Bombyx mori: one gene and its partners. The protein of the gene in region 1 purifies or fractionates together with the protein of each later gene. This does not show direct contact. Links are inferred from orthologs where the notes say so. Each region holds a gene or a part of one and is shown in the gene's direction. Other genes may lie near its edges.

Evidence for each region. Proteins that work in one complex are often made in the same cells at the same time.
Region 2: the proteins of vesicle-fusing ATPase 1 (region 1) and protein sly1 homolog purify together in Homo sapiens (affinity purification with mass spectrometry; 3 studies listed by BioGRID and IntAct, with this or other methods). This does not show direct contact. The link is inferred for Bombyx mori from reciprocal best matches to the Homo sapiens genes NSF and SCFD1.
Region 3: the proteins of vesicle-fusing ATPase 1 (region 1) and gamma-soluble NSF attachment protein purify together in Homo sapiens (affinity purification with mass spectrometry; 3 studies listed by BioGRID and IntAct, with this or other methods). This does not show direct contact. The link is inferred for Bombyx mori from reciprocal best matches to the Homo sapiens genes NSF and NAPG.

The regions. Positions count from the first base shown.
Region 1 is NC_085128.1:5,783,901-5,788,236, reverse strand, and holds part of vesicle-fusing ATPase 1, read left to right. Parts: coding exon 1-47; intron 48-697; coding exon 698-843; intron 844-2,012; coding exon 2,013-2,151; intron 2,152-3,290; coding exon 3,291-3,433; intron 3,434-4,336.
Region 2 is NC_085118.1:7,853,382-7,857,717, reverse strand, and holds part of protein sly1 homolog, read left to right. Parts: intron 1-666; coding exon 667-842; intron 843-928; coding exon 929-1,199; intron 1,200-2,173; coding exon 2,174-2,303; intron 2,304-2,745; coding exon 2,746-2,952; intron 2,953-4,336. UniProt on the Homo sapiens protein: Plays a role in SNARE-pin assembly and Golgi-to-ER retrograde transport via its interaction with COG4. Involved in vesicular transport between the endoplasmic reticulum and the Golgi.
Region 3 is NC_085107.1:1,360,023-1,364,358, reverse strand, and holds part of gamma-soluble NSF attachment protein, read left to right. Parts: intron 1-814; coding exon 815-962; intron 963-2,574; coding exon 2,575-2,829; intron 2,830-4,336. UniProt on the Homo sapiens protein: Required for vesicular transport between the endoplasmic reticulum and the Golgi apparatus.

The DNA.
Region 1 (4,336 bases):
TGCCTTTGCAGCGTAACGTTGGAAGCCGATTTCATGATGAAGAAAACGTATGTGTGAATTCAATCTGATTAGTACTTATTGATGTTACGTAACTTTTCAGTCATCATTTGAAAATAATTTTTAAAATTTCCTTGTTTTTAATAGATTGGGTGGAGCAATTTATTTTCAACTCTGTGATTAAATGAGCATAGTAATTAATGCAACCCAATATCATTATAATAGCAGATAAAGTATGAAATTAGAACGAACATACAAAGATCTTGTTAGTAAAGAAAAATGGAATGCTTAAAGTTTAATAAACCTAATATCTATAAATTTGTGCTGTCTCAATGGAATATATTTTGTGCCTTTGACATAGCACTGACGATCCTGAGATTTGGGGATTCAAAGGAAGGAAGAGTGAAGTGCATTTAATTCAACTAAAGAATTTTGCCACTTGCATAAATATTTCATACGTAAAGTTACCGATAGAAAAAAAACGTTCATTATTTTGGCATAGCTATCCGCGAGTTCTAGATGTGATTAAACACACACAAGATTTAATAAACACATGCATATGATGCAAAAACGCCTTCGAAAATAACTGATCAATAAAAATCTATTGTATTTTTCTAATTTACTTAAAAAGTGTTGTTTGTTAACTATGATAACTAGGATTTTTTTTTTTATTATTGTTGGAATGTATTTCCTCTTCCAGAACATCAACGGATCCATATGATTCGGAACAAATGGCCAGAGATTTCCTTATTCAGTTCGCCAATCAAGTTTTTACTGTCGGACAACAGCTGGCTTTCTTGTTCCAAGAGAAGAAAGTCTTGTCGTTGATCGTAAAAAATTTGGAAGGTGAGTTTTTTTATGTTTGTTATTGGAATATAGACGAGCTCACGGCCCGGTGGTAAGTTGTTATCGGGGCACGTGGACTTCAACAACGTGAATGAAATAACCCACCTTGAGACATGAAGCTCACAGCCCACCTGGTGTTAAGTGGTTACTGGAGCCCATGGACATCTACAACGTAAATGCGCCACCCACCTTGAGATATAAGTTCTAAGATCTCAGTATAGTTACAACGGCTGCCCTACCCTTCAAACCGAAACGCATTACTGCTTCACGGCAGAAATAGGCTAGGCGGTGGTACCTACCCGCGCGGACTTACAAGAGGTCCTACCACCAGTAAAGTACCAGTTTAGTATCTGTGAAAGTACACAAATGTGGAAAAATGAAACAAAGCCGCTGAACGTAACTTTTCGGGATCCTCCAAAAACGTCCACTGAAAAAGTCTCAGTAAATAAACCCACCATTTTACTGAGATTATCTTTCATCCCATATCATCTCATTTCGTTTCATGCCCTGTTTCACATTAAACAACTTCATTTCATTTCATAATATCATTTTTCATATAAAAAAAGTTTTCATTAAAATTTAAATAAGACTTGACCTTAAAGGTCTTAGTTACCAGGTCATAAAATGCCTAAAATAGAATTCCCCAAATTGCCACATTCCCCAATTCTCATTGAATATACGGTTTATAATTGTTTTTTTTTTTTTTTTTTTTTTTTTTCCTACCTAAGCTGAGAGCCTTGAGAGGCTATGTCAGCGTAACCCTAACTTTTGTAGGTGAGCTCACGGGGCTCAAACCTGATGACGTTGCTAACACGAACCCTAGCAAGAGTCGTGCTTCGCAGAATCTACCACCGGATCGGAAACGCGACCCACTGAGAAGATCCGGCGAGAAACTCAGTGGGCTGTGTCTGGGAGTTAATTTACTCGTCGAGCCCTTCGTCGCAAGCGACGGGTTCGACGAGAACGGTGACCGGTGCTTGAAGTACCTAGAAGCACCGTTAGTGGATCGGGAGGATCCGAGATGACGTGTTTTGGGCGACGTCGACTGCTTTCCATACTGTCCGCAGGATCGGGAATGTAGTTACCGGCGGCCACGATGAGAGGGTTCTCGTGTCGTGCCGCTTTATCGAAGTGGTTTTATAATTGGATGTATGATGTTGTGTGTGCAGCCGTCGATGTGCAAGCTTTAGCGGCCGGAGCCAACGCCGTGCCCCGCCGGGTGCGGATGGGCCGGCTGCTGCCCGACGCCTCGGTGCAGTTCGACAAGGCGGAGAATTCGTCTCTGAACCTAATCGGGAAGGCTAAAGGGTGAGTATGGATCATCGGGAATAAGGGACCTTTATAATAATTGTCGCTATTGATGAAATGGAGACTTAAAACTGTCTCAAGGTGGGTAGCGGCATTAAGTTTCCTGATGTCTACCACACTAGTTGATACAGTAAGTTCGCCAACATTTAGTAGTTAAAAAAAATTGACGCCATATATACATGTTTTTGCATCTCGATAATAAAATCATCGAGGCTTGGAACAAGGTTGTCCGGTTAGCAACGCCTTTTATTTTGTTGGTGTTTTTTCCCTACTTTTGATACCTCGCTGGCAGCTAAGGGGCTATTCGAGTTTCCTAAGGGGCTATTCGAGTTTCCTAAGGGGCTATACGAGTTTCCTAAGGGGCTATTCGAGTTTCCTAAGGGGCTATACGAGTTTCCTAAGGGGCTATACGAGTTTCCTAAGGGGCTATTCGTGTTTCCTATGAGGCTATTCGAGTTTCCTAAGGGGCTATTCGAGTTTTCCTGGAGTGTGTGAATGACAATATGAGAGAAAGAGGAGTGAGTGTTGAGATGACGGCTGATAGAAGAGAATGGAAGAGAAAAATCAGGTGTGCCAACCACGCCTAGTGGGATAAGGTGGAAAAAAAAGAAGAAGAAGAATACTTATTTTTTTTGACGTAAAAAAAGTATATGTACAGTACGGAACGAAATAATTGCCTGAAGACTTACCGATTCACCTTCCTTCTACTGCCTCGTGCTCCCTGGGCTCAGCGTCGTTTCCGGAGGTGGGACCGTCTGTCCCTTGACTGGTACATGATGAATATATTGTCGCTGGTTCTATGTTTACGCGTGACTTGCGTTGGATAATTTTTGTTTTTGTTATAATTAATGAATGCCGCGGAACGCGTGTGTTATGTATTCTATGCGATGGCGATCTCTGCCCGTAGGCTTGGAGGGATTGCTTAGCAAGCTTCTGGTTGGCTAGTCGGCCGTCTACAGGCGAGATCGAACCTTACTGCGCCTAGGTTAAGACTTGTGTTGTCTTGAAGATGTAATATATTCATTACCTAATACTCGATACTAAAAAAATATACGAAACAAGAAAAGATCTGTTTCAGTACGAAACAGTATAGTATAAACGAAAAACAAATACAACAATGATATATTTTTGTGAAACAGAAAGCAACCGCGACAGTCGATCATCAATCCGGACTGGGACTTCGGCAAGATGGGCATCGGCGGTCTCGACAACGAGTTCAACGCGATCTTCCGTCGCGCGTTTGCTTCCCGAGTGTTCCCCCCGGAGGTCGTCGAGCAACTAGGTAACGACGCGACCTGCCCTCGGCCCTTTCTCATACACCGTTTTTAATATTCCTAATTAAGCCGATAGCCTATAGAGGCTATGTCAGCGTAACCTAACAAGTAGATGAGCTTACGGGGTTCAAACTTGACGAGCCCTAGCAAGAGCAGTGCTTCGCAGAATCTACCACCGGATCGGAAACGCGATCCACTGAGAAGATCCGGCGAGAAACCCAGTGGGTTGTGTCTGTGGGTTACTTTACGCGTGGAGTCCTTCGTCGCAAGCGACGGGTTCGACGGGAACGGTGACCGGAACTCATACATCGACTACGTTTTAGCATAATATGTTATTTTTCTAGCTGGCTTTAAGATGTAGATGATTAATTCACTAAAGCAATCACCTCTCTTCTAATAATCAATTAGATATCTATTAAGTAAAAGTCAGGCCTGAATGTTACCGTAAACATGTACATAATATATGTATATATGTTTTTTTTTTTTTTTATTGCTTAGATGGATGGACGAGCTCACAGCCCACCTGGTGTTAAGTGGTTACTGGAGCCCATAGACATCTACGACGTAAATGCGCCACCCACCTCGAGATATAAGTTCTAAAATCTCAGTATAGTTACATCGGCTACCCCACCCTTCGAACCGAAACGCATTACTGCTTCACGGCGGAAATAGGCAGGGTGGTGGTACCTACCCGTGCGGACTCACAAGAGGTCCTACCACCAGTAATTACGCAAATTATAATTTTGCGGGTTTGATTTTTATTACACGATGTTATTCCTTCACCGTGGAAGTCAATCGTGAACATTTGTTGAGTACGTATTTCATTAGAAAAATTGGTACCCGCCTGCGGGATTCGAACACCGGTGCATCGCTTCAACACGAATGTACCGGACGTCTTATCCGTTAGGCCG
Region 2 (4,336 bases), on another chromosome or scaffold:
CCAACGGTGAGTTAGTAAAGCCAAAAGATCACCAGCTGATCGGCCTTTGCGGAAGCCATATTGGCGGTCGCTGATCAGCTGGTGCTCTTCCAGGTAGCCCATGAGCTGGCGGTTGATTATGGATTCCATAATTTTGGAGAGTAAGGAGGTGATAGCGATAGGCCTGTAGTTGGACGGATCTGAGCGATCGCCTTTTTTAGGGATCGGGTGTACTAGAGCCGACCTAATAAATTGATCGTAGCTGGTGTTTAACTTCAGTTGATGGATGGAAATATAGCATTGACGAAACTGGTGATAGGACTTCTTGTGGGTCCGCACGGGTAATTACCACCACCCTGCCTATTTCTGCCGTGAAGCAGTATTGCGTTTCGGTTTGAAAGGTGGGGCAGCCGTTGTAACTATACTGATTTCTGCCGTGAAGCAGTAATGCGTTTCGGTTTGAAGGGTGAGGCAACCGTTGTAACTATACTGAGACCCTTACAACTCATGTCTCAAGGTGGGTGGCGGCATTCACGTTGTAGATGTCTATGGGCTTCAGTAACCTTCAGTAACACCAGGTGGGCCGTGAGTATGTCCACCTAACTAAGCAATAAAAAAATTACATTTTAATATACCATGTAATAAAATATGGGAATAAACCAATTAAATTAACCAATAATTCCAAAGGAGTTCAGAAGCCGAAGTAAAGAAACTGAAGAGCTCTATGGGTCTCGATGCAGAAAGTGACTTGGCCCTGAGCATGGTCAGTGACAATACTCAACGGCTTACCAACGCGGTGAACTCATTACCTCAACTCATGGAAAAGAAACGGCTGATTGATATGCACACTACTATCGCCACAGGTAAACAGATTCGTTATCTCAAAGAAATTCTGATTGATTTGACACAAAATAAACTGTTCAATATTATTTCTCCAATATTCTTACAGCAATTCTTAATGCCATTAAGTCCAGAAGACTAGATTCATTTTTCGAATTAGAGGAAAAAATAATGAGTAAAAGCACCGCCGTGGAAACCAAAGCGGTTATGGATCTTATAACTGATCCCAGTGCGGGTACACCCGAGGACAAAATGAGGCTGTTCATTATTTACTATCTGTGCACGTCGCAATTCACTGACGATGAATATGAAAAGTTTGAAGGAGCTCTAGTGGCGGCCAACTGCGATGTCAAAGCCCTATCTTACATGAAACGGTGGAAGTAAGTCTACAAAAAATTTTTTTCCCCTCTAAGCTGTTGGTCTGGAGAGACCATTTCAGCGTAGCCTTAACTAGTAAGTGAAGTCACGAGGCTCAAACCTGACAATGTTGCTAACACTAGTCCTAACAAGAGCCGTGCTTCGCAGAATCCACCACCGGATCGGAAACGCGACCCACTGAGAAGATCCGGCGAGAAACTCAGTGGGCTGTCTGTGGGTTAATTTACTTGCAGAGCCCTTCGTCTATCGAGCCCTTCATGACCGGCGATGAATTTTTTGCTTATATAATCCAGGCTACTTAACTATGCACTAAACGTCTTTTAGGCACAAATGTTTTATCCTAGATTTTCCGCTTCCAGCGTTATTTTAAAATCTGAAAATACTTCTACTGCAGCTTATGTCTTGCTCATAATACTTTAACACATTCATCCTCGTTGGATTAAGCTTGTAAAAAATTTTCAAGTGTATAAAATCATTCAAAATTCGGTTGTGTTCAGACTGTATTTGTAGAATATTTCCCATTATCCTAACTTTCTTATTATATGGAATATTTAATAAAATATACAAACATTTTTGGTTGAAACGTTGAAGCCTTAAAATTCTGGGACACCTGACCGGCGTTATCTAGTATATATTTTCAAAAAAACACACTGCTGTAATTTTTCTACTGTAGATATACTTATAATTTAAACGGCCGTCTGGTGTAGTGTTAAGTGACATGGTCACTACACAAGGGGGTCGCGGGTTCGAATCCCGCCAAGGGATGATATTTGTATGATAAATATAAATGTCTTTTGCGGGGTTATGGATGTATATTAAATATATGTATGTTTATAATAAAAATCTTACATTTATATCCGCTATCTGGTACCTGTAACACAAGATCTGTACGAACTTATCACGGGACCAGTTAACGTGGCGTGATTGTTAGTAAATATTTATTTATTTATTATTATTTATTATAATACTTTTACAGGGGTTTCACAAAAATGTCAAATCAGTACGAAGGCGGCGGCACCAAAACAGTATCCATGTTCTCTAAACTTGTATCCCAAGGCTCATCCTTTGTAATGGAGGGCGTCAAAAATTTAGTTGTCAAAAAACACGTGAGTACTATACAGGGTGTAGCAAAAATTCTTTGCAATAAATTAAGAAAAATCTAAAATTAAGTAACCTCAAGTCAGAGCTTTTGAAAACAGCTGAAAACTGTTTAGTGAATACTCAGAATGGTGGACCTCGTGTTTGAAATTCTACACGCATAGATCTATCATGCTTCGATGCTTCGATGTGTGAACGAGCTTACAGCCCACCTGGTGTTAAGTGGTTACTGGAGCTTATAGACATCCACAACGTAAATGCGCCACCCACCTTGAGATATAAGTTCTAAGGTCTCAAGTATAGTTACAACGGCTGCCCCACCCTTCAAACCGAAACGCATTACTGCTTCACGGCATAAAAAGTCAGGGTGGTGGTACCCACCCGCGCGGACTCACAAGAGGTCCTACCACCAGTAATAAATGCATATTCAAATGTAACGAATGAATGCAGAAACTTCCCGTGAGCCGCATAGTGGAGAGCGCTCTGAGTGGCAGCGAGAGCGCCGCCGAGCTCACGTGGCTGGACCCCCGCGCGGCGCGCACGGACTCGGCCGGTCGCGCGCGCTCCGCACGACAACAGCCGCCCACCGACGCTGTGGTCTTCCTCGTCGGCGGCGGGAATTACATCGAATACCACAACCTGATCGACTTCGCTAAGGTTTTGTTGCGCAAATACTGATATAATGTCAAATTAAATCAAAAAAAATTATTCAACATTAATGAAAGTACATACTTACTTGTTGAACGTCAAAAAGAACTACCGCCAATTCACAAAAACTAGCCTCCGTCCTGAGAAGAACTGGCAAGAAACTCAGTGGGCACGTCTTTTTTTTTTTAATATTAGATTATTTTTTTAAATATTAAGTTTTACAATGAGTATTATAAGGTAACAATTATTGCAATATTGAAATGCCCGGAGCGAGCAACTCATTCCCACTTTGTGCAATCTTCTAGATAATCATTGACTTTATAGGATAGCTTTATTGCACAGACGTACTGTCACTGGTTATCTTCTTCTATGTCATTCCCTCACTGCTGAAGATCGCGACCACATGTGATGTTTCTCCACAATGTTCGATCATGAGTGGCACGGAGCGCACGGTACTGACTACCACCAATTGCTTCCCTTACTAGATCTGACCATCAGGCTGGTGTTCTGTCCCACAGCGCGCTTACTCTCTATGCGACCCGCAATTATCAAGTCTATTTATAGAATCAAACGCAGCAGAGTTGAAAAAAACAATAAATTATATGAAGTACCTGAAGCCATCGCCTTATAATAATTTGCTTTACAAAAAAAGAACCATATTAAAAAATCCGTGATAGAAACAAATGTACCTACATACAAGTATAACCGTACCATTTGTGGATTGACGTTAAAAAAGTGCTCACGAACGTAGCTGTTTGCGTCTTTAAGCCTTCAACGTTACGTAATAGACGAGTGATAAGCATAGATACCACAGCGGCAATACCGCTACCAGTCTTTTTTTTTTGCAATGGTGAAGGCGTGATTAACTTTTAAAGACTTCTTTCCTTGTACGCTCCAAAACTATATTGTGATAGTTCAACCTCTCAACACTCAATAGGAACCTTTCAATAAATGGAGCTTGATTTGTAGACTAATTTGATTTTAGTAACCTACCCAAAGACTTTCAATATACAAATGAAAAGAGACACTCTTTAATTTACAGTGAGACGTCATTCACTAAAATCTGTTGGTAAAATGGAATTTTCCGTATCAAGAGAATGAAGGGCATGTTATGTTTCGCTAGATTCAACACAACCGTGTAACTAAGAAATGTGATAGACTGATGCCCCCTTCGACAATGAGAATCCTCTCATCGTGACCGCCGAAAACTACATAGCCGATCCTGCGGATCAAATGGTAAACAGTCGACGTCGCCCAAAACACTTCATTTCGGATCCTCCCGATCCACTAACGGTGCTTTTAGGTACCCCAAGCACTGGTTCTCGTCGAACCTGTCGCTTGCGACGAAGGGCTCGGCCAGTAAATTAACAGACACAGCCCACTGAGTTTTCGT
Region 3 (4,336 bases), on another chromosome or scaffold:
TTGGGTATTTGATTTGGCTTTTGAAAATGCGAGGTATAGTTTTAACGAATGTTTTACCCAATTTACTTAATTTATAATATTAATTTATTTTATAGCTTATATAATTTAATTTATAGCTTTTAAGAATAAAAGGTAAACGATACATAAATCGAAACTAACTAGCAAAAACTTTTTGATCGAAATTGACCGTTACTAGTGATAGGGTTGATTGTAAGTCCGCACGAGTGGGTATCACCAACCTGCCTGTTTCTGCCACGGAACAGTCACGCGTTACAGGTTGTAGCGTTGAAACAGCCACTATACTTACTATACAATTGAAGCATAAGGCAATTGGAGCCCATAGACATCTACAACGTAAATGCTACCACCTACCTTGAGATAAGTTCTAAGGTCTCAGTATAGTTACAATGGCTGCCCCGCCCTTCCAACCGAAACGCATTACTGCTTCACGGCAGAAATAAGCAGGGCGGTGGTACCTACCCGTGTGGACTCACAAGAGGTCCTACCACCGGTATGTAATTACGCAAATTATAATTTTGCGGGTTTAATTTTTACTACACGATATTATTCCCTCACCGTGGAAGTAAACCGTGAACATTTGTTTAGTACGTATTTATTTAGAAAAACTGGTACGTGCCAGCGGGATTCGAACACTGATGCATCGCTGGATACGAATGCACCGGGCGTCTTATCCTTTAGGCCACGACGACTTCAAAGCTGTACTCTTTATATTACTTACCAATGTCGTGGTCTGTTCTCGAGTCAAGAGGGTTTTAAAAGATTAGTGTTTGAGTAGTGTTTGATATGCTTTCAGCTACGACGAGGCTGTCGATAATTTGCGTCGCGAGATCGGGTTCCATCTTGAAGCGAATAACTTGCCGGCCGTGGGCAGACTGTGCGTGGCCATCGTGCTGGTACAACTGGCCCGCGGCGATACCGTCGCTGCCGAGAAGAGCTACAAGGTAATCGTATTCAATGTTGTGCAATGTTAGAGCTTTTTTTTTTAGGATTGAAGGATTAGTTATGGCCCGGAGGCCTTTCGAGTTTCACCAGGACAGGTGGGCGAGCAAAGGATCAGCCAGGATGGTGTTAGAGCTCTGCAGGCATGATGTAGCTTGACTATAACGTAAATAATGAATAAACGAGTATGGTGCTAGCGTAAGTAACGTCCTTGTGTATAAACTGTGTGTTTCATACGGGTGGTAGGACCTTTTGTGAGTCCGCACGGGCAGGTACCACCACCCCGTCTATTTCTGCCGTGAATCAGTAATGCTTTTCGGTTTGAAGGGCGGGGCAGCCGTTGTAATTATACTGAGACTTTAGAACTTGTATCTCAAATTGGGTGGCGAATTTACGTTGTAGATGTCTATGGGCTCCAGTAACCACTTAACATCAGGTGGGCTGTGAGCTCGTCCATCCATTTAAGCAATAAAAAGAAACTTATTTCTGAAGTTGTTTTTTTTGTTCTGTTGTTCTGAAGTTACATTGTAGATGTCCTAGAAAAAACCTGTTTTTTTTGTAAAAATAAAGGTTTTATATAAAAACTACATAAAAAAAAGGTTTTTCTTTATATCTCCCGGATAAATAGACTGCGTAGTCTAGTCGAACCTAAATCTTGAAGTGCCGGTGCTTATGGTCGAATTTCGATAATCAGTCAAAATAATATCATCACCGCGTACGATCATTGACAACTAAGCCTACTCTTCTATTAAGGGATCCTGTTGGTATTATTATGTAGTTATGCAAGTATTAATATTTTGCCTTATTTTATAATTGATTTATTATAATTGGCCTTTTTTTTATTGTACCAACGAGAACTATGTCCCCGCCCACTCCATGTTGATTTGCACTTGGAACTCTTAGATACCATAACGTCAATGCCAAAGTCTCATCTTGAGACGTAGCATCTAAGGACTAATCTCATAAATGTAGATAATATACATATATCGGCTGCCCCACCCTTCAACATGACTGTTTCGTCACAGAAATAGGCAGAACAGCGGTAAACGTATCAGTAATAATGTAATTTTAGTATATTAAAAAAAATACATCAAGCTTTTATGTTTGGTTTTTAAGCCAATACTGAGTTTTTGTATCGATCGTATCGAGATTTGTAATCGATCGAAATTTAACTAGTGGTCGCCCGGTAGTCGAAATTCGACTATAATTAATTGAAATTATAAGTTTGTACTATTATGATTCTATTATCACAGACTATTATACTTCGCCAACACTACATACACTTTTGACAAATATTAATAAAGACAAACAATATTTAATCTATTCTCAATTTGACCACAGACTATATAAATAAAGAAAAGTTTGAAAATAAACAAACAGTATGCATGTGTGTGCTTGTCAAATACACGGTAGTGTGTGTAATGTTTTTATTTATTGATTTAATATATTATTAAAGCATAATTTAAAAATAAATAGCATTCTGTACTCCTTCTCTATATCTGTATAAGTGTGGGAAATTTCATACTGCTCCGTCCGCGCAATTTTCGTGTAAAAAGGGGTTAAAATTTTTTGCGTCACGTATTAATATTTAGATTCTTCCAAAACCTTTCTAAGGAATGGGGCGGTCACTGCGAAATGGCCGAAGTGCAGACGTTGGATCAGCTGCTCCAGGCCTACGATGAAGAGGACCCGGATTCCGCTCGCAAGGCCCTCCGTTCCCCGTTCATCCGCAGCATGGACGTGGAGTACTCCCGCCTGGCTAACTGCATCCCGCTTCCGGAGCCACTGGACCCGATGATGCGGGCCGGAGTGCGAGAGAACGCCGCGCCGTCGTACGTCAGCCCTAACGCCAGTACATCCGCCTCGGTGGTACGTACTCCCTCTCTAAATCCGGTAGCTCTGATACAAATGTTGTTTTGATAAAGAATTCTATTATCCAAACTCTGTATTTATCTCCAAAACTATTTACTGATTAATATATCCGTCGCGGGAAGTTTATTGGTCACCCCTGTCCTAGAGTTGTTGTTAACTAACTAAACTTTGACTTCCAAGACTCCACATGTTCGTGTGGAGAACACTAGTCGGGTAGATTTTGGGGGTCGATTGCTTCCCGCTTCCGTAGGTTTAACCCACGATTCCCTACAAGTGACCCCTGGGTGGTGCTAAACGGGAGCCGAATACATAATCGGTGGTAGGACATAGTCCGACTGGCTGGCGACCACCCTCCAACTAGAGTCCGCCGCCAAATAGCCTAGCTGTGTTCCGGCGTGTGGGTTGGAGAGCCAGTTTTATTCCTTCCCTTTCCTCTTCCTTGTTCGGGGTGAATCTTGATGATGCCTGGAACATGCGGAGCAGACGTGCGTGCAAGCTCGCGGGACGTGATTGTTTGACGGGGGTATAGGGAGACCCAGTGAAACGGTGTTCGCCGCCGCCCGCCGGTCAGTTGGGGACCTGAACCCGGGTGTCACTACTAAACTCCGCCCCGGGAAGCTGTCCCGCCAACCGGTGTAAAATCCTGTCGTGCGGTCGTCGTGCCGGAGTCGGAGACCGGAGTGGATCCCGGCGATCGCACGCAGGGTGGACTGGGGGCCCTTCCATGCCCTGCGTCAGTCTCTCACGCAACCCGTGGTCAAGCACGTACTGTGTTCCGCGCTTTATTCAGGTATTGTCATGTTTTTGCCTCGAACTTCCTACCCCACCCAATCCCACTCTCCAAAAATAATAATAAAATGACAGTTAAAAAAAGGAAAAGGGTTTTGTCGGCGATGCCCCATTCCACATTTAATGTGGATTTCAGCAATGTAAGGGGCCTACATAGTAACCTCGACGCCGTACACCACCATCTTGAGACGGCGCAGCCTGCCCTCCTTTTTCTGACGGAGACACAGATATCTGCTCCGGATGACACTTCTTACCTTGAATACCCCGGCTACGTATTGGAGCACAACTTCCTGCGTAAAGCCGGGGTGTGTGTATTCGTCCGGGCTGATGTCTGTTGTCGCCGTCTACGAGGCCTCGAACAACGGGACCTGTCCATCTTGTGGCTGCGCGTAGATCACGGGGGTTGTACCCGAGTCTACGCGTGCCTGTACAGGTCCCACAGCAGTGATGCAGGTTCAGCTCTGATAGAGCATGTGCAAGAGGGGACTAACCGCGTGCTTGAGCAGTACCCATCTGCGGAGGTGGTGGTTCTTGGAGACTTTAACGCTCACCACCAAGAGTGGTTGGGGTCCAGAACCACTGACCTCCCGGGTCGGGCTGCCTACGATTTCGCCCTGGCCTACGGCTTCTCCCAGCTGGTGACACAGCCCACCCGTGTCCCAGATATTGAGGGGCACGAGCCCTCTCTGTTGGACCTTCTGCTGACCACCGATCC